Caenorhabditis elegans: one gene and its partner. The protein of the gene in region 1 binds, or shares a complex with, the protein of each later gene. Each region holds a gene or a part of one and is shown on either strand. Other genes may lie near its edges.

Region 1 (7,289 bases):
AAATTGGGTTTCAAAACTATAACCGAATCAGTGATCGTTGACAAAAATGAATTAAAATTTGAGACGCTCGCATCGGAGATTGCGGAAGTCGGTCAATACGTCTCAACGGTACAAGATATGTCTGGTAGGTGTGAAAACCGTAATAGCCTGATGAGAAAAGTTTTCAGTATTGGATGTAATTACCGTGAACAGATTGCTTGAAGTCCGCCCGGACACATTGGATGTGAGCGGATTCTGTTTTAATCTTGAAATCTTCCGATCGATCAATCTGGAAGGTATTAAGGTATGTCTTGGTTGATCAAATTTTGAAATTTGTTTTCTTTTCCAGAAATTCACTGCCCGGGACCATTGCTTGAACAGTCTCCGCAATTTTCCTTACCTGCCGAATTGCACAGTTCTCGGCCTTTCAAACAACAATATCAAGGAATGTACGAGAATTTTGGTTAAACAAGTTGTAAATGTGGAACATCTCGACCTGCGGAACAACTTTCTTACAATGAACTGCACATTTCCTTTGCTGTCGCTGAAATCGCTCACGCATCTGAAGCTGTCGGATAATTTTCGAGTTGCTTTTCGAGTTGCCTTTTCGAGTTGCATTTTCGAGTTGCCCGATCTTTTGCAACTTATTTTTTCAAAAGAATCCCGACGTTGAAGAGAATTGATGATAAACCGGAAAAGATGGCACCACTAGCTCTGGAAGAACATTTTGAAGATGAGGATAATAAACCTTCCAGCAGCACTTCCAGCAGCTTCTGGCGTCACATCAGTTATCAGGAGAGAAGCTTGAAACAAATGCAACCGAAGAAGACATGAAAATTTCCTTTTTTTTTACTGTTACAATACCTATTTCGTAAATTATATATATATATATATATATATCTCGTTATCTCTCCTTATATTATTTAATCCCAACATTGTATTCAGTTTCATTGGCTTAGCAAGTTTTCGATTGAAAATTTTTTTTTTCAGCCAAATACCGATTTTTCATATTTTTTTCGCATTTTTGATTGATGTTTCTGTGATTATTGGTTTTCCTATGTTGTTTTAAAAGGGTTTGTAATGTATCTTCGCTGAAATGTTTGTTTCATATTCAAAAACGGCAATGTTTCCACTTTCCCACTCGGTATCTTTTAGTTTTCAGGCTGCAGCTTCAAAAAATTGAAAATGGCGAAAATTTTAGGGTGGAATTTGTTTTCTTTTTTTTTTTCATATTTTACATAATACTATTTTCGTAATTTATTTTTTTCCCTCAAAATGTGCATGATGCGTTAAATTTTTTTTGGCATAGACTTCGCGTCCCAAATGGCGAGTAATAATTATTGAGAAGGAAAACTGTGTGCGAGCCCTTTGCAAAATGTGTGCGCACCACTTGCGGTATGCCTCATCGTGTGACTCCGCCCACATTTTCTTTTGTTTCCATTTTCTCTTTTCCCCTCAATTTATCGATTTTTATCCACTTTTTGTTTTTCACATTTAGAATTGAGTATTTCATCGCTATTCTGGTTGTTTGCGTTAAAGTTTGTCGTTCAAAATCGAAATTTTCGTTAAAAATCAAGGTTTTTATTTCAGAATGACTGAAGTCGTAAATGCCGACAAAATAAAAACGATTCGCGCGTACTACAAGCTGTGCCAAAAGCCGGAGAATCGAGCAGTCGTGCTTAAGGTAAGTCGTTAGCTCACTCAGGATTCACATGAAAATTAAATTTCTTCCAGGACAAAACATTTTTCCACACTCTCCCAACGCTCCTCAAGGACGAAAGCTCCGATGTCATCAGATACACGGTTAAAATCCTCGTTTTGCTCACAGAGCAGTCGGGGAACATCGAGCAACTGCTGAAATCCGCAGATTTACTTCCAGCATTGTCGGAAGCCTGCGAAAATATCACAAATCCCAGTGTCAACTATAACTTGGTCCTTGTCTCGAGTAGGATTCGAGTAGTGAAGAATTCGCTGGATGCCAAAAGAGCCGAGAAAGAGCCTCTAGCCGATGCGATCAAAGAGCTCGACAAGGGCGGAACTCTTCACCGAAAATTCGTTGGAAGAAAGTCAAAGCAGATTATTATGGAATTCGATGCGGAGGAATTCGATGAAACGAAGAAGCTGTCAGTTGAGAGAGGCCTTCTGAAGAAAAAAGGAGTAATCAGTGTATATATAACCGAGCAGAACTCAATTCCACGCGCCGTGCTCCGCACAATCCCGACAATCGAAGCCAAGGACATTGCGCAGTCCGTTTTCGCCGCCGCCGGATTCGAGTACGTCGCGCAGTTAGTGAAAGTGAACGGAATCGACGAGAAATTCGAGTTTTACGCGTCAGAGATGGGCAAAATCACGGAAAACTCGAAAGATTACCCCGAATATTTGGATGATGATGTGCTTCACGTGGATCCGGCAAGTTGTGTGATAACTAATGAGATGGCTGCCCATGGAAGTGGTCAAGAGGGCGGATGGTTCAGTTCGATCACTTCATTCGTCAAAACTTCCCTCTGGTGATGGAAGGAATTCTCGGATTATCTCGGAAAATCTCGAAAAAAAATGTATTAAAGTACTACGGTTTCTTCTTTGTTATCTCAATATTTTCTTTTTTCTCCTGTTTCTCGTTTTTTTTGAGATCTCTTTCTGGTATTATCACCGCACAGGCATATAAATCGTTTCACACTGGTTTTTAAATCCTCGTATTCTTGATTTTTATGTGTTTTTAAGCTGTTTTAACCAGCTCTAATTATCTATTCGGCAGTTTCAGATTCGAAAAATGCGATTATTCTCATATTTGGACGGTTGCGGTACCAAAAATAGAGGAATTTATCGGTATAAAATATCCTTAAAAATCCAAAGTCCTAGTGAAAATCTTGTTTTTGCGTTTTCATCTAGTTTCCGATTCGAAAAAACCCATTTTTCTAAATTTTCTACCTGAAACCACGTATTTTGACAGTTGCAACACCAAAAATAGAATAATTTTCCTTTAAAATCGCCACAGAAGCACAAATTCCAAGTGATAATCTTTATTTTGCGTTTTCAGCTAGTTTCCGATTCAAAAAATGCGATTTTTCTCGATTTTCTACCTGAAACCTCGTATTTTGACGATTGCAGTATCAAAATAGTGGAATGTTTTTCAAAATAGCCATAAAAGTAAAAATTCCTTTTTAGCTAGTATCTGATTCGAAAAATGCGATTATTCCTCAATTTTCAACTAGAAATCCTATTTTTTTTTAAATTTTCTACTCTAAATTTCGATTTTTCGCACTTTTCCACTCGAAATAAATTTATTAAATTTAAATTTAATTTTAAAAAAATCTTAGTTTTTGTGGATTTTTCCTGTTTAAAATGACTTTTCTCTGCTCCCACATGAAATTTGATAGTTTCAGCACCTAAAATATCGAATTTCTTTGCATTTTCTCGTCTAAAACTCACCATTTCCTTTAAAAAGTATAATTTTCAGTAGCTGTGAACTCCCAACAACCATGCTTCTTCACTCTACCAACTCTTATTCGATATTCACTGGTAAAACACAAAAAAATACAATTTTTTCGAAATTTCTTCATTTAAATTAATTTCCAGACCATGAAGTCGAAACTCGAACCTCTAGAATCCGCTCAGCGATGTTCCCCGACTGGATTCCACCAACTTCTGCTGCAGAAGCCACAAATTCAACTACAAGCATCGTCGAAATGATGCAAATGCCAACTCAACAGCTGAAGCAATCAGTTATGGATCTTCTAACCTACGAAGGATCAAACGATATGTCAGGACTCTCGCTTCCGGATCTAGTGAAGCTTATGTGCGATCATGATGAGTCAGTGGTTGCTAGAGCTGTTCATCGAGCTTATATGCTCTCAAGGGAAGATCCGAACTTCTTCAATGCGCCGGGATTCGATCATCGATCTTTTGTGGAAGCTCTGATGGCTGCGTCGAAGAGTTCCAACGTGAATGTCCGTCGGAATGCGATTGGAGCATTGTCTCACATGTCTGAGCAACGTGGAGGACCTCTTCTGATCTTCAGAAGCGGAGGGCTTGCTGAAATCATTCGAATGCTCTATGATTCACTGGAATCAGTTGTTCACTATGCTGTGACAACACTTCGGAACCTTCTGATGCATGTTTCTGATTCCAGAGCTCAAGCGAGAGCTCTCAACGCCGTTGAGGCGCTAACTCCGCACCTTCATAAGACGAATCCGAAGCTGCTGGCTCAAGTGGCGGATGGGTTGTATTTCCTGTTGATCGGTAAGGATTCACTGGAAAAATCAAGAATTTTGTACAAATTTGCATTTTTTAAAGCTATAAATTCAAATTTTCCACTCTAAAATTTCAAAAATCGGTCAATTTTGCAGACGATGCTCCATCGAAGATCACATTCCTATCACTGTTGGGACCACAGATCTTGGTTTCGATTCTTCGCGAGTACTCGGATCATCGGAAGCTCATCTATACCGTCGTCCGTTGCATTCGATCCCTGTCCGTTTGTCCGAGCAACAAACCGGCGTTGATCAGTCTTGGTACATGGATGTTTTGATTAAAAACTATTTTATATCGCATTTTTAGAGATATTTTCAGGTTTTTATCCACTGAAAAGCTGGAAATTTGAGATTTTTAGCTGAAAATACTTGAAATTCGCAGCTATTTCGAGTGTTTTGAAGCAATTTTTAAACATTTTCCTTTATCTTTCACGAAATTCCAACAAATTTCAAAATTTTTGTTCCGGTGGTTCAAAGTTTCGCTGAAACCTCCAATTTTACCCTCTTTCAGCAGGAAATTACTTTGAAATTGCGCGTTTTTTGAGAATTTTCCAATAAAAAAGTTCAGAAATTTAAACTTTTCAATATTAATTTTTTCTAGGCTGCCTTCCTGCTCTCTACGTGGAGCTCTGCACCGCAAAAGACGAGCGATCCCAGACGGCGATTCTAGTGGCGATGAGAAATCTGTCGGATTCTGCGACAAACGAGGAAAATCTCACTCAACTGATCATCAAGCTTCTCGAAATCATTCGTGTCGCCAACGATGGAATGACTGCCTGCGCGTGTGGAACATTGAGCAATCTCACCTGCAATAACACTAGAAACAAGCAAACCGTGTGTTCTCACGGGGGAATCGATGCTCTCGTCACCGCGATCCGCCGACTACCTGAAGTTGAAGAAGTCACCGAACCGGCTCTCTGTGCTCTTCGGCACTGTACTGCCAGGCACTCACTGGCTGAAGAAGCTCAAAGTGAGCTGAGATTCTGTCAAGCATTCCCAGTGATTTTGGATCAGCTGGAAACTCTTCGTACTCCAGTTATCAAGGCAGCTCTCGGAGTTATTAGAAATAGTGCACTTCTTCAAACAAATCTTATCGAGTTGACACAAGAACAAACTGCAAATGGGCATACAGCTGTGTCACTGACAATGGATATCTTGAGAAGAGCTATCACGGCGATTGAGGAGAATCCTGATATTGCTGTAGATGGAGTTCCAATGTGGGGAGTCATCGAAGGAGCTGTCTCGGCTCTTCATCAGCTCGCGAATCATCCGGCAGTCGCTGCAGCATGCTGTGATGATATTGGACAAGTCGGAAATCCAGAATGTCCACCATTCTTGGATCTTCTCCATCGTCTTCTGGCTCATCCGAGACTCGGATCCATGGATGATGAAGTTCTCGAACGCGAGATTCTTGGGCTTCTCTATCAGTTGAGCAAGCGGCCAGACGGAGCCCGTGCTGTTGAGAGTACTGGAGTTAGTGCTCTTTTAATGGAATCTCGTGGCTCACAGTACAAATCAGTCGTCACTTATGCGAATGGAGTGTTGAGTAATTTGAAGAGAGGAGATTCAGCTGCCATCATGAATATGTCTAATGTGAGGAATTAGGAAAAAAAATAAATTTTCCGTAAAAAAACCGAAAAATCGAAAGAAAACTTTTGAGCCACCACGGATTTAAGATATTGTGGGATTCCGGATCGTTGAAAAAATGTGTTCTATGTGTTGGCACGGTGATCCGGAAATGGTAGATCTAGAATCCCACCGGATCTTGAATCCGTGGGGCCTCAAAGTTTTTTAAAAATTCAATGTTTTAATGAAATATTGTCCATATGGACAAATGTTGATGAGAAAAACCATATAATTTTGTTCTAAAAACAAGGAAAATAGTTCAAATTTTCAGCTTTTTTTCGAAAAATAGAAAAAAAAATTTCAACATAAATTTCCGATTTTCGAGCGAGCCATTCATGAATTAATTCCGAATTTTCAGTCGTACGACTACGAGATGAGTGGAAGTGCTGCGGATTGGCAACGTGATGGGCTGGAACGAGAGCTTTTCGCTGAAATGTATCCGACAAACGACGGCGGACACTCGGAATCCATTAATATGGCGTTGAACAACTCACAAATGCGCCCTAATCACAATTGGTACGATACCGATTTGTAATTAATTTATCTTCTCGTATTTTTGCATTTTTTACACATAATCTGCTGAATATATCCACTGGGAATTATTATTCATGGTTTTAAATTTAATTTTTGATACTTTCAATATATTTATATTATAAATGTAATTTTATACTTCCTACTATCTAATGTTATACGTATCTTTTTTTTGGTTCTTCGGTTCCTTTTTCCTATATTTTTTCAAAAAAAAAATTTCAGACAATTTAAACGAAAAATTTCCAGATGAGTATCTGCCTTGAAAAGCAGAAAATCCGATGCGGAATGATAAGCCGGACGGCTCGACACATTGCCATCGATGAGAATAGTGGAAAAATGGCAATTGTGAGGAAATCTAGGTTTGTACGGAGGATTTATTGGAAAAAATGATTTTTGAAATTAAAAATTAAAGGTGGAGTAGAGTCAAAACAAATTTTTTGCTTAAAATGACAGAAAATATACCCAAATAACCGATTATAACTGAAAAAATGTTCTAAATTTTTTATGATTTTTCAATTTTTCAAAAATTGAATTCCCGCGAAAATAAGTGACGTAATTTGTTTATATTCTCGCGTTTTCTGGCTAAATTCTTTGGTTTTTCTTGATTTTTCTTACACATATTTAGTTTTAAACTCTGTTTCTCAAATTTTCAGGTACTTTTCCGTGAATAAAACTTGATAACCTTGGAGAAATTGGCGGAAATTTTCAAATTTGCCTAAAATTCCACAATTTAATAGTTATTTATATATTTTATTTGGAAAAGGGTTTCAAATTTTGAAAAACAGGGTTTAAATCAAATAAATCAAATATTGAACGAAAAATCAAGAAAAACCGAAAAATTCAGAAAACGCATCACTCATTTGCGCGGGAATTCAAATTTAATTTGGCCGTTTATTTGATTAT
Region 2 (8,616 bases), on another chromosome or scaffold:
AACAGTTACTAGATTTCCGTAAATTGTCTATGAAAGTTTAGACAGGAGAAACCTCTTAAAATTGGGACAAAATAGACTCTAAATCAAATTATTATTGAACATATTTTTACAATAGCACAGATCGTGTTGCAGTGATTAATAATGTTGTTGATATCATCTGAGAAAGTTCAGGTTCTCAGAAAAATGCAATCTCAAAAATGTACTTTCCCTGATTTTTCCTAGTTTTTTTTCTTTTTTTTCACTTCAGTTCACCCCCGCGATTCAAAGTTTACAAACAGCTGCTGCCGTGTACAAAACGTGATTCAGACTTCTCTATGACTCAGATTCCACTTTTTTGAAACGAGAAATTGTTTCGGTCGTATTCAAATTTAAATTTCAATACCCAATATAAGAATATGATGATGATGCATCAATTCACTGTCCTTCCATATCCCTCAGAATTATCCCTCGAAATCTCCGAATAAGACGTAGAAGACGTCAAAACAAAAGGGAAACTTTTTGTCCCTTTTCCATCATCTTCTCAATACTCCTTCCATAAAAGTCCTTTATTTCCGGGGCGCACACTCACACGCTGCTGCTGCAGTTGCCCCAACATAGGCCATACGTACCCAATTTTATAATCCATGGGAGTCGGGCAAACAAACTCAATTCGGTCATCTTCTCCATCTGTCGAGTCTCTGCTCATCCCGAAGGGAACCGTCCTGCTTCCGTCCGTCCCAATGTCTGTGTCTCTTCATCTCCATTGACCAGTGTCCTTGCCTCTTCGTCCTCTATTCCCGCCGCTCGTCCGTTCTTATACCCTTCTCTCCGCTCACTCGTCACCCGCTGACTGACCGACCGGCCAACCCGACTGAATCATCATTTCTTTATGTGTCTTCTTTCTCTCTATATTTAACAGTGTCTTCGTACACCGGTTGATGGTGCGGAATCATCGTTTTCACCATATTCACTTCTCACTCGCAAATACCTCAAAAGTTTGCTTTTTGTGACTTTTTGGCTTCGCAACTTTTTTATTTGAAAATTTTTGAGTGTGAAACATATATTCAACATGGCAAATAAAAACTAAGTTTCTTCATTTTCGGTCGAAATTTTAATTTTCGAATTTGTTTTTTTCTTAAATTTTATTTAAAAAATAGTTATTTCCTAAATTGCCGGCATGTGAAACATAATCCCCTATTAATTGTTTTGTTTTTTCGTTGAGTAAACACCCGAAAGGCCTCACAGGCCCCACCACACTTGTTTCTCGCTATTTTGCGAAAGGATTTTTTATTTTTTTCATTGAAAATTTAATTTTTAATTTTTGAAAAGTTAGAGTAAAGATTTTTATTTTATATGAGTCATTTTCTCAAAGAATAAGTAAATTCTGTGTTTGCCAATAAAGTTTAACGGTGACAGTACCCTCTTGGATCTCTTTGAGACCAACCACCCCTTCTTTATCGTGCGCCTTCAAATCTAACAGTAGTTCTAATCGATACTTTAATGTAAGGTTATGTATTTCTTTTTATATTTTTTGATTTCATCTCAATATAAATATTATTTCTCTTCGTTTTATTTGCATTCTAATCTGAATTTTCAATTTTATTAATTTTCAGAATGCCTGCGAATGGCAATTCTCATGCGTATTTCAACATCGACGAAGTGCGCTCGAAAAATGTTTTGAAACAAATTACTCAATTAATCAATGAAGTGACCAACATCACTGAAACGTTTCCGTTAAAACCTGGACAAACTACTGAAGGACTTGTCGCCACTCTTGATGCTGCCGTTGCTAATTTTCTTCAAACGGGAAGCTTTGCAATTTCGAAATGCCCAATTGCAAACAGTGATCCACGCGCAATTGATTTATTGCACGAAGCTCTTGGAGCAGTTCAAGATACTGGGCAAGTGATGATTCAAACTGGAAGAGATTTTGTCAGAGATTCAACTTCAACAAACAAACGAGCTATTGCAACGAATTCTGGTAGAAATTTGTTGACTGTAAGTTTTTAGGTACTCTTTTAACTGAAAAATGTTGTATTCAGGCTGTCGCTAAATTCCTAATTCTTGCCGACTCGATTGATGTAAAAGTGATAGTTGATAAAGTAGATGAAGTTCGAGAAACTGCACACCAAATGATTGAAGCGGATACAAAAATCAAAGTAGATGATTTGTACAATCTTCTCATTTCTCAAATCGAAGAACTTGATATCACTGTTCGACGACGAGCCATTGATTTGGTTAAACCAAATCAGAGAGATGATCTTCTAGCAGCAAGATCAGCACTTCGACAGACTGCACCACTTCTGTATACTTCAACACGAACATTTGTAAGACATCCAGAACATGAAGAAGCTCGAAGAAATCGTGATTACACTGCAGATGAAATGCATTCTGCTTTAAATGCTCTTGAATCTGTTTTAAACGGACAACAACCGAAAGTAACATTTTCTGAATATGGAAGAATAGGCGATCTTATCAATGAAATCGATACTTTTCAAGTGAGTTTAAAAATTTCAAATAATAAGACAAATAATTTATTTTAAGAATCGAATCGAAATTGATCCAGCCCATTATCGTCGAGGAACTGATCGTCCAGATCTTGAAGGACATTGTGAACGAATTGTTAGTGGTTCTGCTTCAATTGCCGATGCTGAAAGCACTCGTGAAAATCGAAAACAAAAAATTGTTGCTGAATGCAATAATTTGCGGCAAGCTCTTCAAGAACTTTTGACCGAATATGAAAAATCTGTAAGTTTTTTCTATTGATCTCTTGACTTGTTGCCTCGTTTAAAATAAAAAGAAATAAAAAACATTCAAAGAAGCGCATCTTTTTCACAAAAGGGCGATGGAGACGGTGAGAACAAACAAACAAACAATCGTGCGTTCTTTCAAGTGTGACGCCTTGTCCCTCAGGGCGAGAACAACTGTTTTTGTTTGTTAACCGAACTCGAACTAAAGCCGTTTTTTAGAAAAAAAAATGACCACCGCGAGTTCAGACATGGAAAATGTTTTTTTTAGAATTTCGGGGAAATTCTTTAAAAAATTTGTAGTAGTAGAAAATATAGAGACTACAAAGTTTTTACAATAAAATTTAAAGCTTATTACGACCTGTTTAACTATGTTTTAAATCTGTAATTTTTCAGACCGGCCGAAGAGATGATAATGATGATATTCCTCTTGGAATCGCAGAAGTACACAAAAGAACAAAAGATCTCCGGCGACACCTTCGTCGTGCAATTGTAGATCATATAAGTGATGCTTTCCTGGATACCCGTACACCGCTTATTTTACTGATAGAAGCTGCTAAAGAAGGCCATGAAGAGAATACAAGATATCGTTCAAAGATGTTCCAAGAGCATGCAAATGAAATTGTTTCAGTTGCTCGTCTTTCTTGTCAACTTTCATCAGATGTTGAAAGTGTTAGTGTCATTCAGCATACGGCTGCTCAACTTGAAAAACTTGCTCCACAAGTTGCTCAAGCTGCCATCTTACTTTGCCATCAACCTACTTCAAAAACTGCTCAAGAGAACATGGAAACCTATAAAAATGCTTGGTTTGACAAAGTGAGATTGTTAACGACTGCTCTTGACAATATCACTACTTTGGACGACTTTTTGGCTGTCAGTGAAGCACATATTGTTGAAGACTGTGAGCGGGGAATCAAAGGTATCACGGTAAGTATTTTAGTTCTCAAAATTTTAAATTTAATGAAAATTAACAAAAATAGTTTTCGCTAAATTCGTCAACTTTTGAGACGTTCAAACTGAATTTTCCAGGCAAACGCTTCAACACCGGATGAAAATGCGGCCAACTGTGAAACTGTCGACTGTGCTGCCGGATCGATACGTGGACGAGCTCTCCGAGTCTGTGACGTTGTCGATGCTGAAATGGACTTCCTTCAGAACTCTGAATACACTGAAACTGTTAAGCAAGCTGTTCGGATTTTGAAAACTCAACGTGTAGATCAATTCGCTGAGCGTGCGAGCGCTTTAGCCAACCGTCAAGAAGCACACGGACTTACATGGGATCCAAAAACAAAGGAAGAAGAAATGAATGAATTTATCAATGCTTGTACATTAGTTCACGATGCAGTTAAAGACATTCGACATGCACTTTTAATGAACCGAAGTATGAATGATGTTGATTCGGATGTAGAGTATGAAGCTGATGGTGTTGGTGCAGCAAATGCAGATGCTAATCGTACGATATCCGAACAAGAAAATCAACAGAATCTGATGAGACGATTGCCAGAAGAAGAGAAAAAGAAAATTCAAGCACAAATTGATATCTTCAAAGTAACACAAACACGATTCGAAAGAGAAGTTGCCAAGTGGGATGAAACAGGAAATGATATTATATCATTGGCCAATAATATGTGTAAGATTATGATGAGTATGACAGAATTCACAAGAGGTTGTGGGCCATTGAAAACGACAATGGATGTTATCCGAGCAGCACAAGAAATCTCACTTAATGGATCAAAACTAAATGCATTGGCACGGCAGATTGGAGAAGAAAGTGCTGATTCGCAGACGAAAAAGGATTTGCTCGCATATTTGTCACAAATCACTCTATATTGTCAGCAACTGAATATTTGTAGTAAGGTGAGTTTTTTTAATTGGTGCCACGAGCTGTAAAAGCGTACCAAATGTTTTTGGTCAATTGTTTGTTTCGGGGGTTTTTTAAATTTGTCAAATTAGTTTTTCAAGAAAATTGTAAAGATTCACAATTAAAAACGCGTCTATAAAAACTAAAACTGAAAAGAATCTCGTATTTTTCAGAATTATCTGAAAAGTTTTTGAAAAAATTGAGAATTAAAAAAAAAAACTTATAGATAGTGTGATATTTCACCAAAAGAGGTTTCAACTGTTTTTAACGATTTCAGTAGAGATATAATTTTACTTCGCGTTTTTTTTGCGAACCAAGCTCTAGACTGAAGCCATGAAAAATGAAAAAAAAATTGTGATTGGCCTCACTTATACTAGAAAATTGTTCATATACTTACTATAAATAAGTTTTGTTTAAATTGCTTTCAAAAAACCATGTGAAATATAACTTTAAACTTTTAATAGAAAGTAATATTTCAGGTGAAAGCTGATGTGACTCAAGTTGGAAATGAGCTTGTCGTATCTGCACTTGACTCTGCAATGTCTCTTATTCAAACGGCTCGAAATCTTTTAACTGCTGTTGTACAGACTGTTAAAGCTGCATACATTGCCAGTACCAAGGTTGGTTCCCTTTCTTTAAACAAAACATTAATTATTATTCCCACTTGATGTCTGATACTATTGCTTTCCAGCATTTATCACACATTTCTTTTTTCGTACAGACGATAACGGCTGCTTACGTAATTCATTTCAAATCAGATGGTATTTCGCCCACTCTTTTGAGTAGACACGTGGTTTAAAGTGCCAATAGACCAGTTGCCTTTTGTACACTGAATTTTGAGATTTTAGAAAGTGTACCCAAAAGTTTTAGAAAATTAAATAAATAAAATTAAAAAAAAAAAAAAACATTCTCAATAGTGTGCACAACGCGAACGTGCTCGAGTCGAATCAGCCGTTGCGCTTAGCGATGCTCACAAAGCTATTAATTATGAAAGTCCGATGGATGAATCTGGTGAGAAAAAATGAGAAAGCATTAAATATCGTGTTGTGTGGTTTTATCGATGTTGTTTTTGAGAAAAAGAGATATTGAGCATGTCGAATTTAATTTTTTGCTTTTTTCTCAAAATTTACGTTGGCTGCTGCGTAATTTAATGGTAAATATTTTTTATAGTTAAAAAAAGCTTATGTCTTGAGTTCAAATCAGTGGTTAAGACTATTAATGTTTGACGATTTTTTTTTAATGGAGTAGGGATTTTGCTTTAAAAAAATCCAGAATAGTTTGATTCTCAGAAATACCCAAAAAAGAGAAAGAATGAAATGTCGAATTTTCGAAAATCAGATTTTTCAATTTTTGGCGATTCCCTATTTGAATTCTCTCAGTTTGGTGCGAATTCAAACATGGAATTTAGCCAAAAATTAAAAGCAAAATCTCAGATTTTTATAGATTTCCTGAATCCTAGAAAATACAAATTAATTTTCATTATATTCCAAAAAAAAGAAAACAATTCCAGTTAAATATGTTAATTCAAATTGGTAAGGACATCCCTTTCTTATTTTCCCTTCACACTTAAAAATCGTTTTCCCAACAAAAAAACATTTAACTTTCTAAAAATGCATTGTATCGGTCTTGATGTGTGGACATCGATCCCCCAATATGTCGGTCTTGTGATCTTATACTCCCCCGTAAAAAACTCATACATTTTAAACTAGATTGTATTGCAACTTTAACTAAGAAAAGAAGATTAAGTTGAAAAAAAAACTTGAAAGAAATTGATACGAACGTAAAATATGTGTTATTGTTGATGAAAAGTGTCTCGATGTTGTTTGCTGTTGGTTTCATTTTCTTAAATTGCTCGAATGCTTGGAATTCTTTGCTGATAACTTCCTGAAACTCATCCTTATTCTTGCAGTTCCGTCGTCCTAATGCCAACAGTGTACGTGTCGAGTGGCGAATGGCTCCACCAAAGAAACAACCACTAATTCGACCACAAAAGAATAATGCTATAATCAGGTAACGTTTTCATCTATTTTTTTTGAATCAAGGATCCCTCTATAAGTGTTTCCTTTGCCTGCAAAAGGACATATGACACACTTCATTGAGAAGCCATGTGAAAAAAAGTAGTCGGTCCCTGAATAATTCATAAAAAATAGCACTGCCACCAGAAAATGGCACGTAGCTGCCATTGTCAGTAGTCCCAAGTCCCTTTTTTTGTGGTAAAAGTGGTGAAAGCCGAAAGAGCTGCGACACCAAAATGTATATTCTTGACTTGTTGAGCAAAAGTGTATCCCTTGAGGATCATAAATGCAAATTGAGTTTTCGGAAAGCAAAAAAAAAGCGACAATGTTCATAAAAAGTGATGAATAGTTGGATGATTTCGGACATTGAAATGAAAGTTTTAAAGCATCAAAAAACACAATTTTTCTTTTCTTTCAGAAAATTTTCCCCCCCTGAAAAAATTTTTGATAAGATTTCAGACATTTTTTAAACCTATTAAACTAAATTTTACGATTTTGAGATGCACCCCGTAAATCGACACAAGCGCTACAGTAGTCATTACAATAATTACTGTAGTTTTCGCTACGAGATATTTTGCTCGTCAAAAATATGTTGTGCAATACGCATACTCAGAAGTTGGTGTTCCCGTGATAGGTGATCACTAATTCTTGATCATTATCTATTCCATTACAGAAAATTAATTAGAATCCCCCTTTCAAAAGATGTATTCAACGAACGCCGACTAATGTTATAAAGAGTTTGCAGACGGGCATCCGAACGGCGACCTTTGCAACCAGCTAAAGTGCTCGCCGAGTTTACGCGTAACGAGATTGAGACGGGTCGTGATAGTGACGACGAGGAACTTGATCGCCGGCATCAACAAAGAATAAACGGTCGTTTATAGATAATTTATTTCAGTTTTATTCATGTATCTTCATACTTTTCCCTTCCAAATCTTTCCACACATCCTTTATATGCCCGAGTCTTTATTATTTTCTCATTCTTTCAATTCTCTTCAGCTAGAAATTTGTATCTGTGTATTTTTTGTATTCATTTCTGTTTAATGCTCTAAATTCTATCAGCTCATCACCGCCACCATTATCACCGCATTTTTCATTTTTCTCCCCCATGAATATCATAATCCATACTGTTGAAAATCAGGTAACTTTACATCTTTACAATTTATTTTCGCACTATCAACCTCACCCTTTCAACGATTTTTTCTGTATGATTCTGATTTCTAAACTCCCTGATCTATGTGCACAAGTTTTTCAAATTAGATGAACTCAATTCTTTCCTATTTTTATTATGTATATAGACATCAAAAAGGTCTCGTACATCTGGCACCGTCAAAATTGTTGTGCCTGAGCATTACGAGCAGCTGGTACTAAACGGAAGTGTGTGCAACAACTCTCCTTCCACCCTCGCCTCCTTCTTCATTTGTACTACGTTTTGCTTTTCCCCTTATTCTCTTCTCCTGGACTACTAGCAACAGAAAGGGAGGAGGACATAATTGTTTTTTTCTTCAAGAGAGACTTCCCAAATGGATATCCCCTACTATTTTCACACATTCCCATATTGCCACCCATGTTTTCGCTTCAAGACCCAATTTCAATTCCCTAATTTCCTGCGCATTTCCGTGTTTGCACACGCGGCGAGTTACTTTTTAATTTCCTGAAAGCTTACGCCTCCGGGTTTTCCGTTTTTTTTTTTGCTGCTGTTGCTGCAGAAAAATCCTGGAAATCGCGTGCCTAAAGTGTATGGAACGCTGCTTACAGAATTTCCAACGAGATTCTAGAATATTCAACTTATTTTTCTTTCGAGAGACAAAGTGATGGTGGTGACCCAAATACTAATTAGTACTATTTTGTACGCTCATCTTGCTCCAGCGTCCTTATTAGTCTCATTATTTTGGGGCGAAAGTTGGCTGGTTTTTTGTCTCTCGTCATTGTTTTGGATGACCATAGAACATCTTATTTAGAAACTTGTTAGTAGAACTACGTTACAAAGTACAGTAACTCTACAAATCTCCAA

What was found.
Region 2: the proteins of hmp-2 (region 1) and hmp-1 are in contact, whole or in part, in a crystal structure (PDB 5XA5), measured with the Caenorhabditis elegans proteins. Residues at the interface, in NP_001252426.1 of Caenorhabditis elegans: Ser47, Ile48, Val49, Glu50, Met51, Met52, Gln53, Pro55, Thr56, Gln57, Gln58, Leu59, Lys60, Ser62, Val63, Met64, Asp65, Leu66, Leu67, Thr68, Tyr69, Glu70, Gly71, Ser72; in NP_505985.1 of Caenorhabditis elegans: Asn20, Val21, Gln24, Gln27, Leu28, Glu31, Val32, Ile35, Glu37, Thr38, Phe39, Pro40, Leu41, Lys42, Thr47, Leu50, Val51, Thr53, Leu54, Ala57, Val58, Asn60, Phe61, Thr64, Gly65, Ala68, Cys72, Leu85, Met99, Gly103.

The regions. Positions count from the first base shown.
Region 1 is NC_003279.8:14,736,133-14,743,421, forward strand, and holds hmp-2 (Armadillo/beta-catenin-like repeat protein), read left to right. Parts: upstream 1-2,749; coding exon 2,750-2,805; intron 2,806-3,436; coding exon 3,437-3,498; intron 3,499-3,555; coding exon 3,556-4,218; intron 4,219-4,325; coding exon 4,326-4,490; intron 4,491-4,830; coding exon 4,831-5,822; intron 5,823-6,213; coding exon 6,214-6,390; 3' UTR 6,391-6,524; downstream 6,525-7,289. Other genes in the region: K05C4.4 (Leucine Rich repeat-containing domain protein), read left to right, coding at 1-124, 168-283, 329-652; K05C4.7 (Armadillo repeat-containing protein 1), read left to right, coding at 1,571-1,663, 1,714-2,490; K05C4.5 (WD_REPEATS_REGION domain-containing protein), read left to right, coding at 6,633-6,745. UniProt on the Caenorhabditis elegans protein: Required for cell migration during body enclosure and cell shape changes during body elongation. Plays a role in recruitment of the cadherin protein hmr-1 to adherens junctions.
Region 2 is NC_003283.11:11,844,285-11,852,900, forward strand, and holds hmp-1 (Vinculin), read left to right. Parts: upstream 1-1,592; 5' UTR 1,593-1,593; coding exon 1,594-1,977; intron 1,978-2,021; coding exon 2,022-2,477; intron 2,478-2,523; coding exon 2,524-2,727; intron 2,728-2,799; exon of another isoform or gene 2,800-3,022; intron 3,023-3,122; coding exon 3,123-3,653; intron 3,654-3,755; coding exon 3,756-4,583; intron 4,584-5,066; coding exon 5,067-5,207; coding exon of another isoform or gene 5,208-5,255; exon of another isoform or gene 5,256-5,504; coding exon of another isoform or gene 5,505-5,612; exon of another isoform or gene 5,613-6,496; coding exon 6,497-6,597; intron 6,598-7,338; coding exon 7,339-7,486; 3' UTR 7,487-7,881; downstream 7,882-8,616. UniProt on the Caenorhabditis elegans protein: Required for cell migration during body enclosure and cell shape changes during body elongation. Required for proper localization of other junctional components, such as pac-1.